Linked DNA regions of Notamacropus eugenii. The protein of the gene in region 2 purifies or fractionates together with the protein of the main gene of each other region. This does not show direct contact. Links are inferred from orthologs where the notes say so. Each region holds a gene or a part of one and is shown on either strand. Other genes may lie near its edges.

What was found.
Region 1: the proteins of WRAP73 (region 2) and OBI1 purify together in Homo sapiens (affinity purification with mass spectrometry; 3 studies listed by BioGRID and IntAct, counting the BioPlex papers as one, with this or other methods). This does not show direct contact. The link is inferred for Notamacropus eugenii from reciprocal best matches to the Homo sapiens genes WRAP73 and OBI1.
Region 3: the proteins of WRAP73 (region 2) and SSX2IP purify together in Homo sapiens (co-immunoprecipitation; 4 studies listed by BioGRID and IntAct, counting the BioPlex papers as one, with this or other methods). This does not show direct contact. The link is inferred for Notamacropus eugenii from reciprocal best matches to the Homo sapiens genes WRAP73 and SSX2IP.

The regions. Positions count from the first base shown.
Region 1 is NC_092877.1:258,128,791-258,138,949, reverse strand, and holds the start of OBI1 (ORC ubiquitin ligase 1), read right to left. Parts: upstream 4,675-10,159; 5' UTR 4,477-4,674; coding exon 4,405-4,476; exon of another isoform or gene 4,266-4,404; intron 1-4,265. UniProt on the Homo sapiens protein: E3 ubiquitin ligase essential for DNA replication origin activation during S phase.
Region 2 is NC_092876.1:39,902,630-39,913,008, forward strand, and holds the start of WRAP73 (WD repeat-containing protein WRAP73), read right to left. Parts: upstream 4,659-10,379; 5' UTR 4,536-4,658; intron 3,461-4,535; 5' UTR 3,400-3,460; coding exon 3,331-3,399; intron 1-3,330.
Region 3 is NC_092873.1:493,725,283-493,735,254, reverse strand, and holds the start of SSX2IP (afadin- and alpha-actinin-binding protein), read left to right. Parts: upstream 1-5,842; 5' UTR 5,843-6,772; intron 6,773-6,916; exon of another isoform or gene 6,917-6,969; intron 6,970-9,713; exon of another isoform or gene 9,714-9,972. UniProt on the Homo sapiens protein: Belongs to an adhesion system, which plays a role in the organization of homotypic, interneuronal and heterotypic cell-cell adherens junctions (AJs).

The DNA.
Region 1 (10,159 bases), on a different chromosome or scaffold from region 2:
CTTAATCCACAACTGAGTGATACCAAATAAATTACTTAAGCCTTCTTTGTTTCAGTTTCCCAATTTTACTAATTGTTTTACTAACATTACTAATGTGACCTTCCTTTTATCATCAAGAATATCATAATGATAAAAACTCTTCAAACCTTTTGGAATTAAGAGTAAAAATTATTTTCAACCATAACAATGTTCAAAAGGCTAATGCATTCATGAACTGCATTAATGAAAATAAAATGTCAAAGGAGAAAGCCCACTGTACTCTTCACTGGGAAGACCATATCTGGAGAAGTGTTCAGTTTATGGCACCCTAATCTACAAGATCATAGGAGTCTAATCCTGACACTTTAAGTAATCAGTGAAAGGGCAACAGCTTAAAATCTACCCTAATTCTTATCTTAAGAAGCCCAAAGTTTATACAAAGAGATAACATCAACGGACTCTATTAGGAAGCTGAAAGTTCCTGGTAATTAGCAACTGTTTGGTAGAATAACACTCATAACAACAAGGGAAAAGAAGATAATGGAGTGAAACTTGGATAGGGGCCATGAGGCTATTAATCATTTTTACCAATAGATAATGACCTTGGTAGCCTAGGTTAAGATTGATTAGAATTCTTTAAACTAACATCTGGCAGAGAAGTTATTCTCCCCTAATGTATGCAAAAAACAGTAACAAACACATTCAAGTGTTTAAAAATATGAAAAACGGTTACTAAAGGTTCAGTAATGCTAACTACAGCAATGCCATTAACAAACTGCATTTGTAGGCCTTCCAAACAAAACTCTCGATTTGAACCAAAAGACATGCTGGATCAATACAAACTTCTTCTGGCTTCTCTTTCTCCTTCACTGAAATTTACCTATGTGATATCTCTTTAGGAGCAAGTTTTCAACATCAGCACTGTCCAAGTGGCAAGTGGTTCTATGGTAACAAAAGAAGCCTAGAACCAATGCTAGAGCTCTATCCTTTAAGATAATAATGTTTGCCTTCTAAAAAAAAATAAGAGACCTAGAGACAGTATCTAAGCTTTTAAAGTATAGTCCAAGGATATGCTAGCAGTGGATGTTTCAAGAGTTGGGGTGTCACTGGTGGAGATAGTTTGCTGACATGGAGATACATAGATACCTCTCCAGATGGCCCTCAATCTACCTGATTACTTCAACATAGATCAAAAGGGGGTGGGAGGAATACAGTTCTTTGAGGCCGAGATAACTTGGAGCAAGAGCTCCCTGATGGCAGGGGCTGTCTTTTGCTTATTTTTATATCTCCAGAGCTTAACACAGTGCCTATCACTTAATCAATGTTTACTAATTAGTAGAGGCCAGAGTTGCTCCATGGCTGCACATCCGTGATAGATACTCCAATACCCACTGGATTAGGAGAATCTTGGAGGGAAGGGGCAGGAATCACAGGATTAAGAAAGGGTGGAGTGGGTTCTATCCCAGTTACTTAAAGCATAATATACTGATTTCAAAGAGTGCTGGGTCTGAAATCAAGATTCAGATTCAGGTCCCACCTCTCCTACTTATGACCTGTGTCACCTCAGGCAAGTAACTTATCCTCTCTTGGTCTCAGTTTCCTCACATACAAAATGGAAATAGAAGCACCTACCTCATCAGGCCTTTTAAAGAATCAAATAAAATAATGTAAAATATTCAATAAAGCTTAAAGTGCTTATGTAAATGTGCAATATTATTATGAGACTGGATTACCTTTGTGGTACCTTCTATCTCCAAGATTCTATGCTAGGAGGACCCTGGATAGATGAACTGACTGTTCTAATGCACCCAGCAAATTCATCCTGAAGCAACTCAGAAATGCTAGCCCTCAGTTAAAGTATCTCCAGCCCCACATATTAACTAGGGTCTAGATGAGCAATGAATGAAGGAGGACTGCTTTTAGGTTTCAAAATATGCTGCCTTGAAAACCCAACTACCTTATCATCTGACTAGCCAACTTTTCTCTGGCTTCTTTCCAATTAAAATCCTGTCTTCTACAAAAAAGCCTTTTTCAGACCCTCTTTTTCTAGTGCTTTCCTTCTGTTAACTATTTCCAATTTATCTTGCATGTAGCATGTTTCTACATATAGTGTTTTGTTTCCCCCACTAGACTGTGAACTCCTTGAGGGCAGGGACTGTTTTTTGCCCCCTTTTTTGTATCCCCAGCACTTAACAGTATCTGGCATATAGTAGGCCCTCAATAAATGCTTATTGACTGACTGGCTATCTTCAGGAAAAACAAACAGGAAAATGCTTATAAACGAGGGTCGGCTTTATTGTTGTTGTGAAAGTGGAATCTAATGTAAAATCATTACTGCATACAGGTTCTCAGCAGAGTAACTGGGATTCTGAGTTCACTAAGATGCAAAAGCCAATGTCTGGGCTCCAGCAGTCAGTCATCATTAGCACACTGGCTCCCACACAGGTGCTCCCTCCTTAACTGGTCCATAACAAGGTTTTTCTGCATATCTGCAAAATAGCCTGATGAGTAAAAATGATATAACATGATGCAAAATTAAGGAAACAGTATTTCCCATGCTGTTTCAGCTAACCCTGAATTTCAGTTATAAGGAAATTGCATCATGAATACTTTTACTACCTTACCAAGCAAAAGTGGCTTTCCTCATTAGCGTCAAAGACCTTAGGTGTGCTTCTCAAATACCCATTCCAAGGTACCCATACCAAGTCAGTGGTAGTTTTATCTCTATCACTCACTAGCTGAGTGACTTTGAGAAAGGTATATAACTTCTTTGGGTCAAAGTTTCCTCATTCCCCACCCTACTTCAAAGGATGCTGTGAGAACCAAATGGAATGACAGACGCGCTTTTGTGAAAGCACAAAGTTCTCTATGAACATGCCTGTATTACAGCTCCCTGGATGAAAGAGTTAAAGACTTGAATTAGCCTAATTAATAATGAATGATAATCGTCAACACCAGAAGTGGGAACTTCCCAAGCCTTTCAGGAGAAGGTGACTTCCTAAACCCTGATAAAAAAAGGATTTTCTCCAAAACACTGATCTAGAGGAGGAGGGCAGCATCCAAAGCTGAGTTGACAGTGAGCTTGCATGGCCTAACTTTGAGGTGTCCACTGAAGCTTCACTAAGTCTGTATTTGGGGTGAAGGAGGTAGTGGGTGAAATGATATATAAAAGACCTACAAATCACTGCCTTGAACTGGCACCTTACATACAATAAGCACTCTTGGCATTTAAAAATTTGACACTGAGCTGGCATGGCCTGTGGTTTAAACTGTAGTTTCAAAACCTCTGGATATGGGAGTGGGAGGAGAAAAGACAGATGTGCAAATCACTGACATAAAGCAGTACTTTACACATATGACTTACATGGCCATTAAGAATTTGACAGTGAGCTTGCATGGTCTAACACACAAAATCTGCATCTGGGGGGCGAGGAGTGGGGTGAAAGACTGGTGCTTGGCATACAGGAAGTACTCGATTAAATATGACTTAAATGGCATTTTAAAAATTTGACACTGAGCTGGCGCGGCTTGTGGTTTTAAACTGTAGTTTCATAAAGTCTGCACTTGGTTTTGGGGAGTGGGGGGAAAGAGACCCGCCAATCACTGGCATGGACTGCTGCCTGCACACAGCAAGCTCTCAATATACATTAGGCTTAAAGGGTCTTTAAACTTTTTAAGAGGGAACATGGAGAGCAAAAGAAATATGAAAAAATAAAGAAAAAAATGAAAACTTATTGATTAAAGAAAAACACGAAAACTTACTGATTAATGAAAAAAAAGGCAACTTCCTGATCCCAAGCGCTTTCCCAAGCGCACTTACTGCGCCCTTCCCCTCCAAGTCCAGGGTACAGAGAGCCGCCTCACATCTTTCAGAGGGCTCGTCGTTATGGACACCACTTGGGGGTTCATCTTAATTGGGGCACACCGACGGTTGGAACCCAAAGCCACCCTTAGCTTAGGAAAATAAAAAGCCCAAGTTAAGAAGCGGCGCCCCCAGCTCCGGAGTCGGAGAGGCCGGGTGGGGGTGGGGCGGGGGAGGCGCGGACCACGCTCATTAGCATTTTCAGCGCCTGAGCTCCAATCCCACGCGGGGGCCGGCACCTCCGGCAGCGCCCCCCCCCCGGCGCTCTTGGGGGCTCCCCCCACGCTGGCGCCCGCGCGAGCCGGGCCGCGCCGCCGGCTCTGTCCCTCCATCAGCGTCCGTCAGCCCGGAGCCCCCCAATTCTCTCTCCCCCCACACACACATATACACACACCCCCGTTCGTCTCCCCGAACACCCCCTTACGGAAAATCCTCCGCTGCCAGGCACGGGCTCGGCCGCCCACTTCCCCCCAACTCCGGCGCCCTACGCGAGAAGCTCGGCCGGCGCCGGCAGGGATCCCCCCCGCGGCACCTCCGCGGCCGCACAGCCTCCGTTCCTTTACCTTCCCCAAGCAAATGTGGCAAGTGATGGGCAGCGTGAGAGACAATGTAACGTTCTGAACGTTCTGAGCCATGGCCGCGTTCAGAATCCCGCCAACACGGAAGTCCCACTGCCCGCGGGGGAGGGGGCCGCGAGCTGCGGCCGCCGCGGCTCCGAGCGCCGGAAGGTGCGGGCTACGGCGGCTCTCCGGGGCCAAAGCCTTCTCCCGGCCAGGAACCGAAACGCGCTTGGAAACGAGGAGTCGGCGGCGGGGGGGTGGGGGGGAGGCGGAGAGGGAGAGGGAGCTTCCCGCCCTACCCCTCCCCCCACCCCCTCCCCGGCACCCTGCGGAGGCCAGAAAGATGCGGGGGGCGGGGCCTCGAGTGGCGGGGAACGTGGGGGGGGGGGCTGCGGCGGGCCTACGGGAGGGGGGGAAGGTGAGGGAGGGGCTCGTAGCCCGCTTAGCAGCAGGCGGAGGCCTTAGCGTCCTCCTTCCCGCGGGGACCGAACCCTGGGGGTGTTTGAGTCCGAGTCTACCCTTTCCTAGGTCTTCATGAGTGCCTGGGATACAGTAGGCGCTTAATACGTGCTGGCCGAATCGGTTTGAAGTGGTGCAAGAGGGGAGGGGGCTGCAAATTGCTTTTTCCGCGGAGCTTACACAGTAAGCGTCTTCCCTTCAGCTTCCCCCAAGGGTGCCTTCTTAGAAGACCAGGTTCCCCGCAGATCCCCTTTACCCCGTGGAGTGGCCAGCGTCCAGAGGCTCTCGGCCGCTTAATGCATGGTGATCTAGAGGAATCCAGAGAGGGCTTCTTGGAGATGATGGGCTTGGGGGTTTGCTTGGCATCTGTCCTCATGGCTCCAGTTCACTGCCTGGAGTGTCCCCAGATGCCTCCTGCCATCTGCATGGACCTACAAGTGGGAAAGGACGATTAGTTAGCAGGGGATGAGGATTCACAGACCCTCCAATAATTACACGACCAGCAGGAAGGATTGTTCTAAGAAATGTGCAAAAAACAAAACCTCTCATGCTTTAAACTGTTCCCAAGATCATCTGTGAAGCTCCATGTTCGGATGCCATGCCCATCTGAAAGAAGTCCTACAGACTGTTGAACTGATCTAACAAAGGTGGATCATAACTTCAGTGACTTTGCAGTTAAGATCATCTGTGAAGCTCCATGTTCGGATGCCAGTGCCCATCTGAAAGAAGTCCTACAGACTGTTGAACTGATCCAACACAGGTGGATCATAACTTCAATGACTTTACAGTTTCTTAGCATTTGCCTATCCAAAGTCAGCCCATGCTAATATAAAAGACCTGATTTCAAGTGCACTCTCCAGTATTTACTTGCTGCATGACCCTGGTCAAGTCATTTAATCTCTGTTTGTCTCAGTTTCCTCATCTGTAAAATGAGGGTAATAACAGCACCAAGGTTGTTTAGAGGATCTATTGAGATACTATTGGTAAAGTGCTTTGCAAACCTTAAAGTAATATGAGAATGATTATAATTAAGTGACAGAGTGGACCTTGAATGTCAGATCTGGAGTCAGAAAGACTTGAGTTTGAGAGAAGTTCTTTCTGGGGTGGTGGGTAGATTGGCGTTCGATTGAAACCTGTGATTTTACTGGTGGAGAAAAACACCTACTACCAGAAAAACATCTACTACCTAAATTGCTTTGCAATTGAGGAAGTTGTTTTAGAGACTTGCCTGGAGCAATGAGAAATAGAGTGATTTTCCTAGGGTCAGAGGTCCCTTGGTCTGCATGGTTTAGAGACCTGCTCTCCAGGCACTGTGGCCTTTCAGGAGAGAATAGCTTTGATATGTGTTAGTTCCCTGTAGATCTGGATGTCAGCTTTTTATCAAAGCAGTTTAATGCAAAGATTTTTTATATGGTTTCTCCCTGGTCTATATGTATCACTTTTATTTGTGTGAAAATTTTTTATTATTATTTACATAGGGTTTTCTATTTTATCTTTTCTTATTTCATTGATAACACTGGTTAATTGAAATTCTTTTCTCCCTCCATCCATGCTCAGGAAAACTGTAACCTTACCTTTTCATCTAACTGATTGGAATATTTAATTTTTTTTTAGATATTGAGGATAGCTAAATAAATTGTGTTGTCTGAACTCATGGAATAACCATAAGGTGTGACAAATATGAAGAATACAAAGAAATATTGGGAGATAAAAAGCAGTTCTGAGTGAAAAAAAGCAGAACTAAGTAACAATATACACACAGATTTCAGCTCTATTAAAGAAAACAACATTCTACACGGGCAGAAAAAACAATAAATACGATATCAGCATTGGTGCTGGCTTGTGAAGGTCAGTGGACATGGTTTTCCCTTTTATCAGTTGGCATATAACAGTTATGGTTCCATGAGTCATCGTTTGCAATTTTTTATGTTATTTTTTATGTTTTTATGTTTATGTTAAGTTTTTAAGTTATATTATGTTTTCCTTAATTTTATATAAGATTTTTGTTTTAGTCTATGAATGGGTTTGGGGAAAAGAATTTTTCATTTACCGGAGGAAATGATGAAGCTAGGTTGAGTTGGTCCACTACAGATTTAGACTAAACTGATTTCAGCTAGGCTCTCATGGCAGTTAGACAATCCCACAAACCCCACCTTAATTGCTTATCTATCCCTCTCACCACGGTCCCACATCCCTTTTCTTTTCAAGCCTCCCACCCTCTCAGTTGAGGACTGAGACTCATATTTCATTGACAAAACCTCAGAGAAGAGCTCCGTCTTCACTCCTCTTTATCTCATATCCTTTTGACACTCCTCCCTTCACCCCCTCCCTCACCCACTTCCTCACACTTCCCCACCCAGCCATTATTACTGCCTTCACTCTGGTATCTGAAGGCGTAGTCCTGCTTAACACATTGATCTCTTCTATTCAAATGGTCAAGACGTGGGCTTTCTAGCTGATCCTCACACAGGGCCCCCCTAGAATACTCTCCCTCTTAACTTCCACCCTCTTCAATCTTCCATCTACCTTCCATCTACTCTGTATTTATTTCACACATACAGATTTCAGGATGTGTTCTCTCCCTCCTTTAGAACGTAAGCTCTCTGTGGATTGTGGCAGTACTTTTTCCTTTGTATACAGAGGAGAGCCATGTTGTTGTTCAGTCCTGTCGGACTCTTCTGTATGGGGTGTGCAAAGAGGACTAGCACTTCTTGTGTGAGGACTTGTTGAACCCTTTTCAGGGCTTCTTTTCCACCTTTGGTTCCTGCTTAGCACTCAACTCTCACCTGTGCATTCATGAACTGAAGCATGGGGTATACTGTCTAGGCAGGTGGGTTAACCAACGGGCCTCAAACCTGTGGGTGAGATAGGGGGATATCTCCCACAAGCATGCAAAGACTTACCCTAAGGAATGGGTGGAAGTGAATAATTTCTTCCAAGGGCCTTGAAGAGTGCTGCAGGTCCTGAATACACCAAGATCAGATACTATATCCCTGGCCATTGCCAGTCATCTTGACTTGTGTCTTGCCACTGGATTTCAGTGACTGGAAGACAGTAAAGCTGACAGCTTTGTCCAATTTGGCCTCACTTAAATCCAGTTCACATATGAACCAAAACATCACCCGGTGCTCACTGGTCCTCTTCAAAAAACCAAACAACTTTTTTTTTTTTCTTGGTGCTTAACAAAGAGCCTGATAAAACTAGTTGACTAGTAAACACACAAAAAGACCTGCACAGAATAGGGCCCTAGCTGAGGGAAAGGGAAAAGAGAAAGAAGTTTAGCTAAATCAGCTTTAAAAACCAAACTAGTGGACTGAATACCAGAATAGTGGCTTATGTTGAATAAACACGAGAAGGTTTTTGTTACAGAGTTAACAATCAATTTATTTGTTAATAGGATGCATACTTGGTAAACAAGGAAATCACAGATTAACAAAAACAGCGTTCAAGCCATTTACTAGGGGTGTGGTTATCAGATTGTAAATACCCTAAGGCCAACTGCAATGTATTATTCATTTTTGTTTTAACTGGAATTTAGCACCTTATAAAAACTGCATCAGTAACTACCACCTTCCTGTACTTTAAAGTATTATATCGTTCAGTGTTTTTTCAGTCAGGTCCTACTCTGTGTGACCCCATTTGGGGTTTTCTTGGCAGAGATACTGGAGTTTCCTATTTCCTTCTTCATCTTATTTTATAGATCAAGAAACTGAGGCAAACAGTTAAATGACTTGCCCAGGATCACACAGCTAATAAGTGTCAGAGGCCAGATTTGAACTCATGAAGATGGTATCTTTCTGGTCCCAAGCCCAGTGCTCTATCTACTTCACCACCTAGTTGGGTCATTTGAAACGCTACAGAAATGAGTTGTAATTAATGTTATCAATATCATCATCAGTATTATTGAATAAATGAGTGAGTCTGATAAAAAGTTGTGGAACCAGGATATATTTCTTTTTCATCCGTTAAACCTCATATATAGTACTAACTTTCTTAAATTATTATTTTTCTTTTTATTATTTTCGTCTTTGTAACACAATATTCATAGTTTCCTATCAATAACTCCCTCTTCCACCTCTCTGGTTTTTTTCCTCTGGGGCCGACCTTCCTGTCTGTAATTTTTGCAGTACTTAGTTTCACTGATTTTGTAGTTCTTCCACTTATAGTGTTGTTATTGTATATGTTATTTTCCCAGTTCAACTTATTTGATTTTGCATCAGTTCATGTCTTTCCATTCTTCTCTGTATTTATTATTTCTTAACAGTGTTATAATATTCCAATATATTTACATCATAGGATTTATTTAGCCTTTCTCCAGTGGACAAGTATACATTTTGTTTCTCGTTCTTCTTTGTTATTACCCAAAAAAAGTGTTGCTATAAATACTTTGGCTTATGTAGAGCTTTTCTTTTTGTCAGCAACCTCTTTGGGTGATAGGCCTAGCAATAGAATCTCTTGAGTCATAAATCACGGACAATTTAGACACTGCCAAAGTGGAATTTAGCTTTGAAAAAGTGGTCATTTTAGAACAGGAAGAAAAGAGAAAGTTAGACTGTAAGAGGTCTTTAAGGATGTTTCCTTTTAACCTTCTACTCAGAAATGGCTATAGAACTTCTTGCTTTATCCAAATAAATTAATTTTTTGTATCAGATTGAAGAGGCAAAGGGAAAGAAAACTGAGAACTTATAATTAAAAAAACCTCCCCCCTCAAATTATATTGTATTCATTTACCTGTTTAAATGTTATATTTTCCTCAATAGAATATAAGCTTCCTCAGGGCAAACACTATTTTAAATTCTGTCTTTGTATATCTTACGTCTAGTGTAACGACCTTGATCATCTCTTAGTGAAGACTGGTTGAATTGAACTGAGAAGTTACTATCATACAAGCCTAGGATCAACTAATTTTATAATAGAAGAAGACCGTCACAAGAGTAAGGTGAGAAAACTTGTGGGAAATAGTGAAAATGTTTATGTCTGGTGTGGAAGTTGGGTTTGAGAGTGGGGCTGGGAGTCCAGTACCAAAAGGGGCAATTCTAAGGAGGCTGAACTATTCATTCATTCCTGTAATTAGGATGAACTTAAGCAGTTTAGTCAAATGTGTTAGGTAGGATAGGAAAAATGTTATCACCAAGGTCTGTGGAAACTAATTGTTTCAGAAGCTGGTGTTAACAATTTGTTCCGAAATAAGTGGAGATAAAGTAAGTAGGAAATAGGCAGTCTGCTAAAATATCCTGGAAAAGACATTTTTTTTTTTAAAGCAGGGGATTCAAATCCCTTGTTTTTTGTTTGTTTGTTT
Region 2 (10,379 bases):
TGTGTATTTATATATATATGTACATATATGTATATATATACATACGCAATTAATATTTGTAGGATTTAAAACTGTGAATATATTATGCAGATACACATTTATCTTAATATCTAATATAAAATTAGTAATTATGTTTAGTGACCAATATTCCTTTATTAAACAAATGTTTACTGTTTTTATCTCCATAAATATTTATAAAGGCTATGTTCCCAGGTAAAAAACAATTTCTTTACGCCTCAGTTTACGTATCTCAAACCAAATGGTTAACACTACCCTCCTACAATGTACCTTATAGACATGCTAAAAGAATGGAAGAGATATCTGTGAATCACTCTGAGCTCCTCACTCAGAAGAAAGGCATTAAGATATTATATTTGATAAATAATTTAAATTAATTTGGAGGATCGTACTATTAAAAAGTGGTATGTGATAAGTTCACAATAATACAAAAATACAGTTTAGTTGTGTCACATATGTAACAGTGACAGTCTTTGAACATACCTAGAAATGTGCAATGAGAGGACCCTTCGAGTAGTTGATAAGTGCTGGATTTCAAAGCAGATCTGAGTTCTAGTCTCATCTCTAACACTAGCCATGTGCCCATAACAAGTTACTTAACCTCTCCTTGCTTCAGGCAAATTATAAGTTATATTGGAATTGCAATATGTCTGGGATGGAGGGAGTTTCCATATCTGAAGTCTCCAAACCAATAAAATTACAAAGTCCTTTAAGTCAGAATGTGAAAATTTTTCATTCATGTTCTCAACAGAATCAAGTACATTAGAATCCCATTATTCAAGTTCTATGAAAACGGAAACTATTCACTCCATATTTATTGAACATCTATATGTGTGTCATATCAACTCACTTCTAATAGATTTAGATATTTTCCCTGAAAAAGTCAGTCTAAGACAACATACGCACTTGGCCTGTTTCCAGTTACACATTAGGAAGCAATTATAATGTATTTTTGTTATTTTTCATTCATCAAAGTAAAATGTATTTTCGTTCGTAGTACAAATAACATGACAAATAATAACAATGAGGAAATGAACGCAGGTGGATTTATGCTAATATTTGCTCATAGTAGAAAACTCCATTCTAGTTAATAATGGACATAAAAACATGCAGTTTTAACTTTAGGATAAATATACTTCAATTCCAACTATTTTTCATAAAATATTTCAGTTATCTAAATTTATACTACATAGCCTGAATTAAATGTCCAAAAACCTAGGAAACTATTAATGGTTTAGTTGAAAGACTGGAATTTATTTAAGAGCAGTTGCATTATTGACTTATTCTAAATAAATTCACAATTTTAAGAGCATTTGTAAAAAATAATGCCCACTAAAGATTTTTTTCCCCAAGACTCATCATACTTAAGGTCAGCAACAGTTTATAGTCGGAAAGGATCAAGGTTTATTATTTTGTTTATTTATACAATATTGTCTCTGTAGCCCAGGCGAAAAGCCAGCTAACTGCATATGGACTACTAATACATTCTGTGTATGAAACTGCAAGACACAGATTACTCAGAGTCTTTTCTAAAACATTTGTTATATAAGCCCAAGCTTCTAAAAAATATGAGAGTTCCACCAGCAGCAGCTAAATTTTAACTAATCATCTTTTGGAAAATTGCTGTTACTCATTCTTTCTTTATGATATGGGATCTTTTTATCAACACCTGAAAAAATATACATTATAAATTCAGCTTTCTTTAAGGTATCTCAAACTGGTAATATGCAAATGTTTCATTAAAGCACTAAGTTGGGGCAGATCCTTCAAGAGTATTAAAGGATTAGATTAATCTGAAGGAAAAGTCTTCCTTATTAGTTTTAACTAAACATCAAAAACAGTAATGACAAGAGTGCCAAAATTAGGCAAGCATCTGTTACTTCTCTTTACATACAGATGTCACAGATGACACCACATTGTGATCACTTGTTTATACCAACTGAATGGACACACCAACCTCGTCCCCCAAACACAAGCAAACATCAAACCCTTAAGGGATAGGTCCTAAGGTGCTGTTAGACTAACACCTGAATGCTTAATTTTCTGTAATTTTAGGTTAAAAAAAGACAAAAATATAAATTCTTTAAGTTACAGTTGCCACAATATAGGCTTCACAAAATGCGTATAGTGAGGCCAAAGCTGTTGAGTTAGTACCAATGGCAATCTTATTTATTAGAATGACAGACATCCGATAAATTTCTGGGTGGAATTTATGAGTTAAGACAGGAGATGTCTCAATATTGGGTTGGGTTTTTTTTTCTATTACTCCAAAGATATTATACAATTATAATGGCATATATCCAAAGCTAAATTTTGTATCCAGGACAGAGCTTTGTAACATAAGCATAAGATTTCCAATCTCTGGAACGAAAAGTTCAAATCCTAGTCATCTTAAAAAACTACTTTTCCTCACCAAGACAGAATGTAAGCTATTTAAATCATTTACTTCCAATGTTCTGGAGTATAGAAAGAAGGGATAAGGGAAAGTAAAGTTACCAAATGTGTATACTTAGCAAAAGTGAACAAAAAACTACTACTTCAAAGCACTTTTTAGTGGCAGAAGGACTCGATTCCACAGCTTTGGTCATAGGCACAGTAAATTTGATTTCCATGACAATGGCTGGTCAACATCATTCCACCATATGGATGAATAACTTTTTAAAAATTTTATTTAAATACCGCATATTAGAAAAAACATTGAGTCAAGAAGTGTTTCCTCCTGTCACAAGTTATATGAGGGTACTAGGCAATGACCCAATTCTGTTATCAGACCAAGTGACCTAAGGTCATTCTTGTTCTACTCAACTATTAGAGCCAACACTTTCTAATATATCTTATTGTAATTTTCTGCATTATTGTTTCACTCTTATTAGACTGACAGCACATTCCCAGCATCTAGTTCAGTGTTCTCTGTTCCCCCCAAAAAGGAATGGGCCTGAGGGATCACCTGACCCAAGATCACAGATTTAAAGTAAGCCCTTAGAAGTAATGTAATCCAACCCCCTCACTTTACACAGAAGGAAACTGAGGCCCAGGCAGGGGAAGTAACTTGTTCAAGGTCCCACAGACAGTAGTGGGCAGTGCCAGATCTGTAACCTGGGTCCTCTGATTCTGATCCAGCACTTTTCCTACTACACCAAGTTTACAAACCCCCTCAGTTTACAGAAGGGGAAATGAAGCCAAGAGAAGGCAGCTGGTTTACCCAATGTCACACATCAAGTCAGTGGCATTAAGAGTCAGCCTTCCTAGCTCATCTGAAATTGCCAACCACAGTTTGACCAGCAATGGTCTAAGTAACCACAGACAACTCACCAGGAATTTTCCATTGGGAGAGAACTTGCTGAGCTGATTTGAGAGCTTAAACACTTCAGAGAAATTCATAACTGACGCAAGTGCTGGAGCTGGCCAAGAAACTAAGGTGCTAAGAAGGGCCCGAGAGACTCTGGAAGGCAAAGGCAACAATGTTTCTTCAGGCTGTAGTTGATACAAAGCTGGCAACCCCTTAGAGGAACACGATGTGCTCCAGCACCCGAAGGCTGAGGGGGATAAGGATAAGGCTTGGACTCAAACACAGGACAGTGCCTCTGCTGCATTTAGGGGGGAGACAGAGATGACTGCGGGGACCGATGGGGTCATATTGGTAGGGCTTTGGGGGTTTATCACATTCTAGCTATGACGGGAGAAACACGGGGACATTCGGACAAAGCAATGAGGGGCTACGGTGGAGGAGGCTGAAGGAAGGGCAGAGAATGGTGCAGTGCCCTCCCTCCCCCCCCAAGAGACCCTAGGGAGAGAGAAAACCTCCTCTCTTTATTCAAAAGATCCCAAGAACATAGGAAGCATTTAACAGTCAATCAGTCAGCTAGCATTATGAAGCACCGACTATGTGCCAGGGTCTCAAAAGACCATCCCTGCCCTCAGGGCACTGACGGTCTAAAGGGGGTGATGGTCTGCACACAAGTAGATGCCAACAGGACGCAGACAGAGTAAGTTGGAGGTGATCTCCGAAGGCAGTAAGATGAAGGAGGGGTACAGCTACTGTCCTAAAGAGAGAACCCCAGGGCTGGGGGAGATGGGGGAAGGCAGATACGGTCAGCCACGGCGAGTGGAAGGGGAGGGAGACCCAACCACCCCAGCTAACGTGACCCGGGGAGAGCCTCGGCGGCCCTCGCCCCTAACCCAGCGCTTCACACGTAGCGGGGCTGCAAGGTACTGAGGGGATGCCGACAAAATGAGGAGGGCCCTGCAGCGAGAACAGAACCAGTCCGTGCGAGGGGGGAGGGGGCGCTGACCTTCTCACGCTGGGAGGGGGCAGGGCGGCGTCTCTTAGCCCGACCCACAGACACAGACAGAAGCACAGCCTCCGTCTCCCCTCCTTCCCCCGCCCTCCCCCCACCCTCTCTCCCCACCCCCTCCCCCATCGGTCTGTCCGCCCCGAGTCCCGGGAGGGCGGACGAGCGGCCACGGCCTGCGGGGAGCGGCCCAGGTCGGGCATCGGGGAGGACGGCAGCCCTCACCGGTCCCCGCGGCGCCGCCGCCGCCTCCTCGTCCTCCTCCTCCGCCGCTGTCTCCTGCTCCACCCTCGGGCCGCTGCTCCAGCAGCTGCAACAACTGACCGCCAGCGGGCAGCGGGCCGGAAGCAGGGGAAGGCGGGAAATCGCCGTCAGCCTATCAGGGGGGCAGTGTTCCGAATGGCATTGTGGGGGTTGTAGTTTTCTGCCGCCGCTCCCTTCCGCGCTTTGTCTAGTAAGGACGGAGGGAGGGGCGGGGCCAGGCTGGCCTGGTAGTCCCGGGAGGAGCGAGGGGGCGAGAGTGACGGGGAGAAGGGGAGAGAGACGAAGGTGTAAACCCCCAGGCTTTCGGTCTGGGACTCTCGTCCTTCGCGCTCTCACCCACGCCCCCGCCCCGCGCTGGGCGGAATGAATGAATGGGTAGATGGATGGATGAATGAATGAATGAATGGATGAGTGAATGAATGGATGAATGAGGAGCCCGAATTCTAACAGCAGGATCACAGATTTAGAGCCGGAGTGGATCCTAGAGGCCGGGGCACCGACTTCTGCCCCCACCCCTATTTTACAGGTGGAGAAACTGAGGCCCGGAGGCCTACATTCTGATGCATGGATCACAGATTTAGATACGGAAGGGAACTTAGAGCCCACGAGAAAAATCCCTGCTCAGGATCACCGTGGTCAGATACAATCTTTTTAGAGATAACGGGTAGAAGAACCATAGGAAAGTAGATTGACTCACTTTTCCCATCAGTACATTCAATTACCGTTACGGGACTGGCAAGGTTGGGGGCGGGGGCGGGGACATGAGATGAGAAAAGGGTACCAGGAACCCACGCCTGAATGAAGCAACCCCGAGTCTGTTCATCCCGGCTCAGGGCAGGAGTTACCAGCAGGAAAGTTAAGTCCTGTGTCATGGTATGAGTCGGTGTGGCTGTGCCCCCCTCTAAGGGGAAACAGCCACAATTCTCTCCAGAGCTCAAAAAGACCTCAGTCCAACTCCTCCCTTTACATAAACCTGAAGCAGTTAGTCGATCAGCTGACATTTATTAAGTTCCTACTGTGTGCCAGGCACTGTGCTAAATATTCACACAATCAGTTACAGAATCTTGAAAGTGAGTCTCTCTTTCCCTTCTCCCTTGTATCCTATTCCCAGAGCCTAGCACACTGGCTAACCTATAGGCAACTTTTAGCAAATATTTGTTGATCGGTTGATAGATTAATTCAGTGAATGCATTCAATTGCTACTCCCACTCATGGGATTTAGAGCTGAAACCCATTAATCAATCAATAAATATTCATGGAATAAAACTATGCAGCAGGCTGTATGCTAGACAACTGGAAAGTTGGTTAAAAATGATAAAAATTCTCTGCCCTCAAATGCCCAGCATTCTTTTAGAAAAACAACATATATGCACATGGATAAATACAAAGTAATTTCAGAATACGGAGGGTAAATATCTCTGGAAGTTATTTATTCTAATTGTCCCTCCAAAGCTCATTCCAAATGAAGCCTTTCCTAGTCTTCCTTGCAGTTGGTGTTTCCTCTCTGAAACTGATCCCTTTATATTTTCTAAATACTTCTAGACTCTTGTCTATATCCTCCCAGAAATTCTTCACTTGTGGGTCCCTCTAATGTTGTTTGGGCATTACTCTAGAGCTCCTGACATTCTGTGGGTATCATTGTAGCATCTCTGGTCCTTGTCACATATGCAGCCCAGTATTCTTCTGGGCCTTCCATCTCCCAGAAGCTTTTTTTTTTTTTCTGTCATGTCCTGGGGAGAAATCATCAGTTCTAATTTACTGAAGCCTACTTAAGAGTCTTCATGCATCCCTCTTGGAGAGATAGCAACAGATACTTGTAATATTCTGTGAATGAATAACATTGAAATGAGTAATAATGGATACAGTCTGAGAAAGGGGAGTCCAACCCCAGTTATTCCCTTGGATCTGGAATAAAGAACACCTGAGTTCAAATCTGATTTCAGATACTTCCCAGCTGTGTGACCCTGAGCAAGTCACTTCACCTCTTCCTGCCTGAGTTTCCTCAACTGTAAAATGGCAATGATTATAACACTTACCTACCAAGGTTGTGAGGACCAAATAAGATAATATTTGTAAAGCATTTTGAAAACTTTAAAGGGCTATATAAATGTTAGCCATTATTGACATCTTTATTTCTTATATAATCTTGAGCAAGTCTTTCCCAAGTCCAGTGCAATCCCACATGCATTTATAATTAAGCACCTGCTATATGATTTTGGTGCCTTAATGTCCTCAAATGTCAAATAAAATGGTTCAACTTGATGGGCCTCTGAGATTGCTTCAAAATTCTGTGATCTTATGACTGCATGGAGATCTGGGATGCAGAACAGAAGATATCCCTTGTCATGGGATGAGTTCTTCTTATCTGGCAAATTTCTTCCTCTCCCCCCCCAATTTTATTTACTTAGAATGAAAGCATCTCTTGGATCTCTACTGATGTGATAGAAGATGTGGATTTGAGAGCATCTTCAGGATAGACTTAAGTTGTCCTTGCTTAGTACCCCTATTCCTGACACCTGCTTTATGTATGAGACAGTAATCTCAAACTCTCCAAGGGGTGAAGAAGGGGAAACTGGAAAGGGTCTGGTGTCCTAAGGCCTCCATTCTAAGTTGCGCATTGCTCCATTCAGATCTTATTGGACTTCTCTGGGTTTTTTGACAAGTCCTGGGGGGCCAAATCCATGGGGCTTAGTTAAACCAGAGCACTCTAGACAAGACAGAGATCTTAACAGACCTTGGCTCCCCCCCCCCCCCAACAGAATGAAGTTTCTGTATTCTTTTAAATGTTCAAATCAAGACAACAAGCACTTATTAAGTTTTCCTATGTGCCAAGAATTGTGCTAAGAATGGGGGATATAAAGAAGATCAAGAATAGTTCTGTTGCCTTCAAGGCAATCAAAAAGAGGGCAATGTTGCTTTTTGGATCCTACCTGATTAAGCAGTCTAGTTCAACCTACCTTAGTAAATAAATGCCTCCTGTGTGTATTGAACCTAGTGAGGTTTCCACAGGATCATAGATTTAGAGCTGGAAGGGACCTCTAAGGCCATCTAGATCAACCCCTTCATTTTACAGAGGTGAAACTGAGGCCTAGAATTGCCTGAGGTCACACACAGCTGATCCAAGGTGGGATTTAAATGCATGTCCCAAATCCATAACTCACTGTTGTCGTTGTTGAGTTGTGTTCCACTCTGAGTGACCCCATTTGGGGTTTTTTTGGAAGAGATACTGAAGTGGTTTGCCAATTCCTTCTCCAGTTCATCTTACAGATGAGGAAACTGAGGTCAATAGAGTTAAGTGACTTGTCCCAGGTCATATAGCTACTAAGAATTTGAGACCTGATTTGAACTCATGAAGATGAGATCCCAATTGCAAGCCCAGGGTTCTATCTAGTGGGCCACCAAATATCTCACAAACATTTATGAAGTACCTAAAATGCATACAGTGCTCCTGATTGGGGTCTACTCTTTATTTCTCCAACAGATGTTCAACCAACACTTAGCTGTGCACAGAGAGAGCACTGTGCTGGGATATGGTATGTCCATCTCCTCATTGAGTTTACCGTCCAGCTTCCTAAGATATGCATGAATGACTTCAACATTCTACCAGTGTACCAATATTACAAGGTTGATTAGGACCCTTTATCATGGGACTAGATCTTCCCAGGAAGTTCAAAACACGCTGAGGAGGATCCTGACTGAATTTCTAACCAAAATTGTTTAGAATGACAACCCAGGTCTTCTGACTAGAAAGCCAGTGCTCATTTGGTCAAAGCATACTTTCTTTTTGGAATAAGCACCCTAAGCCTCCAGCGAGTATGTGCCCCACAAAGGACACTTTTTAATTCAAATTATTATAAGCTCATTCAATCCCACAAAAGTCTTTTTTTTTTTTTGTACTTGCGACAAGGGGTCAGAAGTATTTCATTTGGGCTCATGCTCACCTGCTCCCCTGAAAGTCCTTCAATTCCTTTCCCTGGCATGAAGATGACTTTGTTTTCTAGGATGTTATGCCAAAGTTTAGTAAACTAGAAAAAACAGACCTGTGAATCTACTGTCCCAGAACTCAGTCCAATACAGAAGCCTCATCACTAATTTGGTCATAGGGTTTTAGATTTTTTAGCCACAGAAATTTTCACAGACCATCTACTAAGACATGGAGGGGTTTCAATCTTCACTGGAGGAAGACTCACTTTCTTCATCTGTAAAATAAGGCAGGGCAGGTGGGACTAAATAGTTTCTGAGGACCCTTTCAACTTTAAAACTATGATCCTAGAACCCAGATGCTTGAAGGGAAAAGCTGTTAATATCGATTTAGAACTGAAAGGAATCTTTCTGACCATCTAGTCCAGGATTCTTAACTTTTTTTTTTGTATCGTGTATCCCCCTTAGCCTTCTGGTAAAGCCTCTGAACTCTTGTCTCATAATGTTTAAATGTATGAAATAAATACATAGGAAATCAATTATATTGAAATACAATTTTCAAAATATTTTTTAAAATACACAAGTGCACAGACTCCGAGTTAAGGACCAATCCAATCCCATCACTTTACAAATGAGGAAAATGAGACCAGAGAGGGTAAAGTACTTAGTCCAGGTCACACAGTGACAGTTGGGATTCGAACCCAAATCTTCTGACCCCAAATCTACAGCACGGTAGGCGGATAGCGGTCCAGTGGGCAGTCAACCTGACACGGTTAGAATTCTAACCTTAAGAAGACTGGTAGATTTCCAAAGCCGAGAGCCACACCAGGCTATCGTTACCATGTCCAGAAGAAAATCAGAGGAAAAGGCACCAGCGCAAGATCGCAAGATTCTTTAGCTTTAGGACAGGAACTAGGACCCAGGCAGGAGTTATTTGTAACTGTAAGGACTATATTTTTCTCTTTCCTGTAAGTCCTGTGGGTACTTTTCTGCTTTTTCTTTTACCTTAATAGACCGGTGAAAGTGGTTCCAAACCCTCATTCGGGCTTGCTGAGGGTGAGGATTGAGGGAAGAGGGAATGTACTGAAAAACATGGGAAGCTCTGGGTTCGAGGAAAGCCCCAGGTCGCCTTATTATAGGAACGCCCGGGTGCTTTTTCTGAACCAGGAAGGGGCCGCTTTCTTTCTCCACCCCAGCCTGGTGCCCAAAGCAGGTGTGACTCACACCAGCGAAGGTTGGTTGGTGCGCTCTGCAGCGCGATTCCTGGCCCAAGCAATTTGGATAGTGAGAGACCAGAGACAGGGAACGACCACTCCTACAAGATAGGTGAGTAACCCAGGTTATTTGGATGTGTATTATAGTTGTCCGTTTTTCCTTTCAGGATCCTTGTAGACTAAGGCTATTTCCTCTTTTGTCTTAGGAACCCCTGAGCCCAGTGAAGCCTCTGTCATACAAAAGGTGCTCAATAAATGCTTCTTCTTCCCACAGAGGAGATGCTTCATTTAATTGGTTGCGTATTATAATTATAATGGGCTGAATTTGGAGTTAAATCTGGCTTAACAGGCCAGTTTCATTACTTCTCGATCTGTTTCCTCATCTGTAAAATGAAGAGGTTCCCTTTCTGAATCTGTGCGATCTTATGAGTCTTTTGTGTGTATGGTATAGAGGGAAAGAGACTGAAAAGGATCCTGGAGTCAGAGAAGAGGATCTGCATGTAAAGTCTTTTACAACCTGACTCCAACCTATGTTAAGAGGCTTACTGTATAATATGACCCTTCATGCACTTCAGGGGTTTAGTGAAACCCACCTTCTTACTGATTTTTTACGCCTGATTTTTGTCTTCTTGCTTTTGCACAGCCCCCCTTGGAATGCATTCCCCCCCTC
Region 3 (9,972 bases), on a different chromosome or scaffold from region 2:
CTTCATAAATTCATATCTGGCCTCAGACACTAACTAGCTGTGTGACCCTGGACAAGTCACTGACCCATGTTTACCTTAGTTTCCTCATCTTGTAAAGTGAGCTGAAGAAGGAAATGGGAAACCACTCCAGTCTCTTTGTCAAGAAAACCCCAAATGGGCTCACAAACAATTGAACGACTGAAATGAAACAACAACAACAAACAATGCCTTTTTTCTGGGGGTGGGGAGGAGTGAACAGTAGCAACATGCTTTTTTGGTGGTGGTGGGACAGTAAGGAAGCATTAGCAGCTGAGGAACATGATAGAAGGTTTCATTTAGAAAGTGGTATATAAACTGAGTTTTGAAGGAAACTAGGGATTCTAAGAAGCAGAGATGAGGAGGAAGCAAAGTTCAGGCATGGGAGACAAGTCTTCTCAAAGACACAGAGACAGAAGATAGAAGGTCATTGGGGAGAAACCTAAGAAAGGTGCTTTGGTTGGACTATAGAAGGAGAGTCATGTATAATAAAGTTGGAAAGGTAGATTAAAGCCAGGTCATGAAAGACTAAACATGAGTTTATATTTAATCCTAAAGATAGCTGGAAGCCACTGGACATTATTGAGAAGGGGAGTGAAATGATTAGACCTGTGCTTTAGGAAAATGATGTTTTGGGAGCTATGTGGAGGTCGAATTGCAGCAGGGAGAGAACTGAGGCAAGTAGTTCAAATTAGGAGAAAAATTAGACAACTTAGCCTTGGATCCAGTCAATAAGTTCCAAATCTACCTAATTGTACTTTCATGTAGTCCACATCCCTCCATGTTATGGGCAAGCATAGCAAGAAAGAGGTTGTCAAGTATTTTTCTCAAATCTAAGTATACAATGTCTAGAGCATACTTCTGATCTACCAGTCTAGTTACTGTTAGAAAAATATATGAAGTTAGTATGACTGGTTTATGAGGCAATTATTTTCCTTTTTAGTATTCACTGCTAAATTTTCACAGACCATCCCCTTAATAATGTTTTAGAATTTTACCTAGAATAAAAGTTGGGGTCATTTATGTGTAGTTGGCAGACTCCAACCTCATTTCTATTTGCCTTTTTCCAGTCCTAAGTCCTCTCAGAGATGACTGATAGTAGCTCAGCCAGTTCTTTAGGATATAGGTCCTCTGGACCTGGTGACTTAAACTCATTAAGAAAATATAAATACTTTTTGACCATCTCTTCATTATCTTGGGTTTCTACTTCATGCTAACCATTTTGTACTATCCCCTGGGCAATAAGACTATCCCTCCTTTGGGCGTTTCCTTAATTCCAACATAGCTAATGCAAAAACAAAGACAAAAATGTTAAAAACAACCCCTTTTTCTGTCTTGTGCAATCATTGCTAACCTGAATTCTTTCTGGACTTTAGGGCAGGTCAGCATTATCCTTCTGTATTCATTCGCAAATAACTCAGGTAATTTATTTCACCTTTACTTTTTTTCTAGTTTTCGGAATAATTTTGTTTTTTGCCTTCAGAATTTTATTATATGATTTGATTTATAAAAATTCAATACATACTTTTTAAAAAACAATGAATCTATAACATAAAACAAAGTATTTCTGTATTAAGTAGGAAAACACAGGAAAAGATTAGAAATTTTCTTAGAACACTATTACTCATTGGAAACTTCGGTCTATTAATGTGTGTGTGTGTGTGTGTGTGTGTGTTTAATGTCTGTGGTAAATGAGAAAAGGAAAAAATGTAATTTAGATAGTATTAAGATATGATCTCCTATGTATTATAATTCAAATCATATTCGGGGCATTTCAGGTTCTTTCTTGCTTCATATTTCACCACTTTGTTCACTCATACTATCATTTTAGCTTAATAAAAACTTTCTCTTTGCTTCTACTGGCTCACAGAACGGTTTCCACTAAAGATGCTGAGCATGTTTAAACAGACAAATGAAATAGCCCACGTTCAGTTCTCTTCGTGATTATTTGCCAAGCTGTTTTTCCTGCAGAGGTGGCCTAAACCTGAAGGCAAAATATCATGCACAGATACTCTTAAATGGTGATGACTCAGTCCAGATCCCCAGCCTATTCCAGTCTGTGATTATATATCAGAAGGTTGTTTGGTAAGCACTGAATCAGAGCAAAAAGAGCTAGAACTTTCTATGGGAATAGCTCTCCTCCATTTACCTGTTCCTCACACTGTATCCTGGAATGGTTGTTGATAGAATCATTAGATGACGTAATTTAGAGTAGAACACAATTATAGTATATTCATTATTACTTATATTTGTGTATGCTCAGGAGCAGAAGCTGTGGTGACAAATAATTGCTGGGGAATCCTAAATAATTGACAATGGCTTCATTCATCAATTCATTTATTTATTCAATAAAAATTTACTGAGGAGTTACTGTGTGCAAGCCACTGTGAAGAATATATATCTGAATAAGACATAGGTAGGTAGTCCTATACAAGTTCTTTATGATTTAGTAAGGGAAATAAGATATGTTGACATTGAAAATGGACAGAAAGAGACAAGAGAGAGAGAGAGAGAGAGAGAGAGAGAGAGAGAGAGAGAGAGAGAGAGAGAGAGAGAGAGAGATAGCGCAGATCAGCTAGCTAGTTGCTCAGGCTAGCCTCTGTAAGAAGGCAGTATTTTGATGGCCTTGCCTTCCTCTACACCATGGCTATTTCTGTCTAGATAACTGGTATGAGTCATTAAAATCAGAGTACCCAGTTATTTGTGAACTGATTCTGCCCAATAAAGAGGAGTTGGCTGCCAAAGTTGAAGTGATAGGAACCTTGGAAAGAAGTGATCAGTATATCTTAGAGTTTGTGATAAGTAAGGGAAGGAATGCAGGGCAAACCCTGAACTTGGGAAGAATAGATTTCACAGATTGTATAGATAGGATCCCATTCCTTCAAATTTTATAGGGGAAGTTGGATCAAAAGTGATGGGATGCTGTTAAGGAAAAAATTTGATGACACAAACGCTAGTGATTCTGATGAAGAATAAAAGGGAGAAAAGTCTTAAAAGAGTGATGTGGATGCACAGAAAACTTCTGGACCAACTTGAACTCCAAAAAAGGGATGAAAGAAGATGAAAGCAAGAGAAGTTTACTGAGGATGAATGCAAAACAGTAGCATGGTCCTACAAGAATAGTGCTAGGTGTACTAAAGCTCAGAACAAGCAAAAGCTTTCAAAGTATGCTAAGGAAAACAAAAAGAACAGATGATGGAGATAAGACAGAACTACTCAACACATTTTTTCTATTTTATTTTTACTAGGAAGAACAATCTTCAGTTGGACACAGATAGAAGAAAAATGATTAATGAGGAACTGAAATCCATGATAATTAAGGAAATGGTAAGAAAGTGCCTCCTTGCCTCGAATAAGCTCAACTCTAAGTGCAGATAAACTACATTTCTGAATACTAGGAGAACTAACAGGTGTCATTGCCCACTGAGTTGTAATCACCCCCCAATTTTTTAGAAAATTGTGGAAAATGAGAGAAGTAGTACAGGATTGGAGAGGGATTAAGGTCCCAGTTTTCCAAAAAAGAAATAGGATAATTCATCAAGTGATTGATTGGTGAGCCTTACTTTGATTTCTGGAAAATTCCAGAATATATTAATAAAGAGAGAATTTATAACAATTTAGAAAGAAAAATCATGTTCCCTAAGAGTAGGCACAGGTTTATCAAGATTAACTTGTGCTAAACTAAATTCAGTTCGTTTTTCTGATTGATTCAGTGGATAAGGGAAATGCCACAGACACGATATACTTAAGCCTTAGCAGGCAGTTGATAAATTATCATGATATCTTTATAGATAAGAGAAATGTAAATGATATACTATGAACAATCTGATGGAATAAGAGAGTTTCCTATGTCCACTAAGCAGGTTTAAGCTGGAGAGGGGTGGGTGACACATCAAGATTTAATATTGACAAGCTGGAAGGATGGGCAAGATCTAATAAGAAAAAGCTCAGTAAGTAAAATAAGGAAGATAGAAGTAAAAATATTTTTAAAAACCATTCACTTGGGCAAGTTTAAAAAATAAACTGCAGAAATATCACATTTCTAAAACCACCATTACAGAGGAAGGATGAATAGTCAATAGTATGAGTGAAAAAATTCTGTATTGGTGTACAGTAACCTCAATATGAGTCAACAAATGATAGGATATGGATGATAAAAAAAAAAAGGTAATGTAATCTTATGTAGAATTTAGAGAAGCAGAGCGTAAAGAATATGGGGGAGACTGATCATGCTACTTTCTGTTTTGATCAGTTGGAATATTTCGATAAGCTCTGGTGGAACATGGACAGTTGCTTGATGGAGATTGTCTATTATGGTAAGAAGGTTAGAAACTATGCCAAAGGAAGATCAGTTGAAGGAACTAAGTCTGGAGAAGAGAATTTGGAGTGACAGGAAATCTGTCTTCAAGGATTTGAAGAGTGGTTATGTGCAAAATGGATTAGAAGTGTTCTCTTTGGTCCGGAGCTGGGGCAAAGTGGAGGAATAGGCAGATTGCAGAGACAGATTTTGTCTTAATATAGGAAAAACTTCCTAACAAATTTGTCCAATGACAGAGGCTGCTTCTCCATCACTTAACAATAGGGAAAAGGCCTAGACCTGTGATTTCAAATTCGTTTAACTACTCCCAGAAGAGGAAGCACCCCGTAGTAATACCAATGGGTACTTTCTTGACAATTTATGTCCTAAGAGAGTTGCCTTGAGTGTGGAGAGGTTAAATTACTTACCCAGAGTCACACAATATGGGTCAAAGACTTGGTTTTAAGACCAGCTCATTATCCAATGTCGCCTAGAAGAATCACTTCACAAACAATGTGTTCTGAAGGCAACCCCCCAAATATGCTGACCTTAGCTTCTTTACATCTCCTTGCCCTACCCTTAATGGTTCATCATTACCAACGGGAAACTATGGTTAAATTCACCTATTGGACTTTTTATGTTTGCCCATGTTTGGCTACAGTAACACCTAACGTGTTACTATTTAAGAAAGGAAAATAGCCCAAAGAAAGTACTAAGTGTATTTGAGGTTATTTTAAAAGGAGAGTAGTCATGGTTTTGCCTTTCTTTGTATCTTAAGTGCTGGGCACATAGTAGGTGCTTATGGACTTGTGACTTATCCAGACAGGTAGATGAGGCTTATCGAGATCTTGATCCGGGATGGCTATTTTGGTGGTTCTTTGGACAGTTTTCTTTTCAGCATCACTCTTTGGAGTACACCTCCCAAGTTTCTCTTCTTTTTCCTTTCTTTTTGCACTTTTTCATCCCCAAATCAGAAGGAGGGGGTTGGAAGGTAAGAGAATTACTCCATTTTCCACTCAGAACCCTATTCCCACGTGCCACCGGTTAGATGCCATATTTCGATGCTACCACTGCCCGCTCCCAACATCGTCCATTCCCCAAAGTCGCAAGTCGGGCCAACTGGAAGATCTTTTGGGGATGGAATGTGCACTTTTCACAGCTCCATTTTCTTCTTCTTACTCTATTATACCTTTACGGGAAGTCTCGGATTTGGAAAAAAGCCCCGAAACAGTTTTTCAAGCTGACGAACTCCTTTGTCCTTGTCCCGATTTCTTATTTTAGTTACAGCAAACTGCCAAAAATCCTACGAAAATGTGAAGCCTGCATTTTCATGCCTCCTCTTCCTTTCCTTCAATAAAATTCACCATCCTCTGCATTTTACAAGGCATCTCGGATTTTATTTTAAAGCTCCCATCCCTGTCCTGCCGAATTCCTCTGTCCTCTGCTTTAGGAGTGTTTCGACTTGTTTTTTCACCCTTCAGAGCAGATATAGGGGCACACAGAAGCTAATCGAAAAGAAGATTTGCGCATCGAATCCTTGTTTTTCATATTTCTGGCATGCCAAGCCACCGAAATGGGTAGGGTCGACACTTTTTCACTGTGCAGGCGTAACTTTGGCATCTCTTCTGCTTCTACCACTCTCAGAGGCACGTCTCTCATCTTGTCCAATTTTTTTCTGGGCAGGAGTCGCTCTTCCTTTCTTTCTCTAGCCTTTCTGGTCTATTTTTGGAGTGCTGACTTCTTCCTTTGGGGCTGGAGTCTGCATCCAGGCGTCCTGGGAGCCTGACCTAATTCTGGAAGTCAAGTATTGTCATCCTGTCGGTCTCCCTTTGCCAAAGCTCATGGTTGGGCTCCAGAAGAGGAAAAAAACCTTCTCGTCTAGAGTTGTTGGCGCGTGTTCGCTTCGCCTCTTTAGAAAACAAAGCCAAGAAATGCCTTTTCTTGCTTATCCCGAGCAAGGACTTGGAGTGTGAGTGGAGCAGAGAGCAGGAAGAGCCTGGACAAGCGCTCCCAGGGATTCGCAGGCTCTAACAGGTGCGTCGCTGCAGCTGCGCTCCCATCCCAAGCCTGGAGTGTAGGGAATAAGACTTTTCAAGTGCAAGGGGAAGGGGGTGGAGCCAATGGGGAGGCCCAATCAGGTCAAGTAGGCCCCGTTATTTATCTCCTAGCAACCGAGGGAACCAATGGGAAGGAGCCTAGGTGGTGGAAGGCGAGGGGGAGGGGTGGGAACAGCTCAAACCTGCGGCCCTAGGGAGGGGAGGAAGCGCAGAAGGGGGCGGAGCCTAAGCTGGGGAGACAGTAGAGGAGGCGGGGCTTGCAGGAGGGAGTCTCAGCCTGAGGCGCCTCATTCTCGGGCCTGGCAGTTGGGGATTGTAGCTGCAGAGGGGAGTCTGGTGGTCGTAAGGCAAGGAGCCCCCTCCCCCACGCACCCCCCCCCGCCCATGGGGGGGGCCATGACTGGTGAGCGTCCCCCCCCCCTTAGGGTGGGGTCACTGTGACGTGCCCAACAAGGGCCCAAGAGCCTGGGTGAAAAGGAAACCATTGGTTGGGGGAGGGGGTTGGGGTTGGAGGTGGGGGGCTGGGGTGGGGGTGGGGGGGTGGGAAGAAGTGCCTTCTCTGCGGCTGGGTATGCAGCGAGGTGGGGGCAGGGCAGGGAGGTGAGTGTGGCCGCCGCCCTGGCACCTGGATCTCTGCCCCTCCCCCTCTGGGAGGCGCCGTTGGGGCAGCTGGCCCGGGGTGGGGGGTGGGGTGGGCCCCGAGGCCCAGATCGGCTCCTGCCCCCCTCCCCCAAGCCCATCCCCCCCGCCCTGCAGGGGTGAGGGGCGCTAGAGGAGAGCGCTCCAGATGAGGGGGGAAGGGAGGGCGGGGGCGGGGGGGGCACGACCCACGCGACGGACAGGTGCCAGACACCGGAGGGAGGAAGGGCCGAGCATCGACGTGGGGGGAGGCGGCGTGGGCAGGGCCATCGCCTCGCTCCCTCCCTGCTGGAGGGACAAAGGAGGGACGAGTGGGAGGATCCCCTTGACGCGGTGGGGAGGGGTCTCCCTGGGAGGACCCTCAGTCGCGGCGATGCTGCTGTCGGAGCCGCTCCGCTCGAGGCTGGCAGCCCCATGCTTGCCTGGTGGCCTGGACGAGGCTCGGCGGTGGGAAAGCCCCCCTGGGGCTGGGGGCGGCCCGGGGGACCCCAGCCCTGGGCCAGCCCCTCCGGCTCCCTCCGGGGAGGCCCCCTGTCGTGGGCAGCGCGGGGCCGGGGCCCGGGGGGGCCGCGAGGAGGCGGCTCGGCTCTGGAAGGCTGAGATGCGATAGTGGACTGCCGGGAGTCGTCCTTCTGCTGTGTGTTTTCGGAGCGGTGTCGGGCGAGCGAGTAGGGCTCAGAGCGGGGGCCCGGGGCTCGGGGGGGGGCCGGCCGCGGGCTGAGGGCATTGCCCCGGGCTGGCCGCGGTCGGGGGGCCCGGGGGGCCGGGGGCAGGGGCGTGGGGGCTGTGTAACGAGGACCCGGGCTCGGAGAGGTGCTGTGCTGTGCTGCGCGGCTCGGCTAGGTGCACCGCTCGGAGCCGGGCCCTGGCGTGCTGCGGCTGCCGAGCCCAGCGCGCCGGGCCCGGGCACGGCCGTGCGATGTGGTGCGGTGCTGGGTGCCGCGAGCAGATGGAGAAGTGTGGAACGAGGCCTGGTGCCAGAGGCTCGTGCTGCAGCAGCCGGGTGCGTGCTGCCAGGCGGCCGCGCTCGGAGCACAGAAAGCTCGGGAAGGGCCCGCGTGGCGCAGGGCCGCACTAGGGTGCTGCTGCGAGCGCACGGCGTGCTGGGCTCCCGAGCGGTGCCGGAGGGTGCTGCCGGGCCACGTGCAGTGCCGGGCCGGCGGGGCTGCCCTGGCGCGCGGTTTTATAGAGTGTGGGCACCTGGGCAGTGAGGTGTCAGGGAACGTGGCGTTGCGCTCGGAGCGCTGTAGTCATGCTGTGGCACGCGGCGTGTTGTATAACGCTGTCCTGCTTATCTAACGGTACTCTGCTTGGGCTGCGCTGATCCTAATGTGGCCTACAGCTTAGAGCGGTTAGATAATACGGCATTAGACTACTTCAAGGGGCAACGTGATATTATATAATGTGATATCATAGTCAGTGCTGTAATAATATTGTAGCATGCTACCAGAGGGTACTGGAATGGTACCGTACTAGGGTTAGCTTGTTATATAGCGTGATGTGCTTTTAGTACTGCAATGATATAAAATACTATTTAGGACACCATAATATTACAACGTATTTAATTACTGTAATAATATATATGTAATTATGATATAAAAACTCAAGCACTGTAATATGTAACATAGTATGTTTAAGAGTTCTGTGATAAAATTGTTACGCTATTCAATGCTATGTAATATTCCATACTAAGAGTACTATAAAACATATTAGACTTAGAGTACAACGTGTACTACTTAAAGTATATAATTTGCTTTTGTTCAGTTGCGTCTGACTCTTCATGACTCCAGTTGGGGTTTTCTTGGCAAAGATCCTGGAGTAGTTTGCTGTTTTCTTCACCAGCTTATTTTACAGGTGAAGAAACCGAGGCAGACAGGTTTAAGTAACTTGCTTGAGGTCCCACAGCTAGTGTCTGAGACTGGATTTGAACTCAGAAAGATGAATTTTCCATACTCCAGGCACAGCAGTGCCTTCATGGCACTACCTAGTTGCCCCAATGTAACATAAAGTACTTTAATAATATACTACTTAGAGTAATGTAATATAGTATATTATTAGAGTAACATAATAATATATCTTCTACTTAAATGGTGTGTAGTATAACCTATTATAACAGAATACTGGTTGGTTGGTTGGTGGTTGTCTTTCATTCTCAAAGAGAACCAAAATGACATCACTATGCTAGAGTCAAGTTACAGTGTGTCTGACTGTGGCCCCTCAGACCAGTATGAACTTGGTTAGGCACACATAGTCCATGTGAACATTTGGGGTGGGTTCTCTAGATCTGCACATCTTTCCTGTGCTCATAGAATACATCGCCTTCTCTGACAAAGGTGCGCCATGCTGCGTACTATAGAGAATACACAGAGTATTATAAAAATATATGTGTATATATATATATATATATATATGGTACAGAGTACTATGAAGCATATTTTAGCATTATAGTCAGAATAATGTCCTAATGATATACTACTTAGAATACTATCTGTTTAGAATACTGTGATAATATTATATAATACATAATACATAATGTCATACCAGTATAGCATAGTATATGAAGAGTACTGTATGGTATATTATAACATTATCCTGATAATACTATAATATATAATATTACAGAGTAGTGTAATAATACAGTATACTGTTTAGACTACTATAATATATTATTAGAGAGTAATGTAATAATAGATGTTTTTGCAGAGTGACTATTATGTTTATAGTACTGTAGTAGTATAATAATATATTACCTAGAATACTATAATATATAACATCATATTTATTTACAGTGCCACTATACATACACACAACACACTACTTAGACTGCTGTAATCCACATAGAGTACTATAATTGTATAATATATAGCAACATAATTATGTAGTAACACATGGTAATATATAATGAAAACTAGCTGGCATTCACATAAGGGCAAGGTTTGCAGAGCTCTTTACCTGCATTATCTG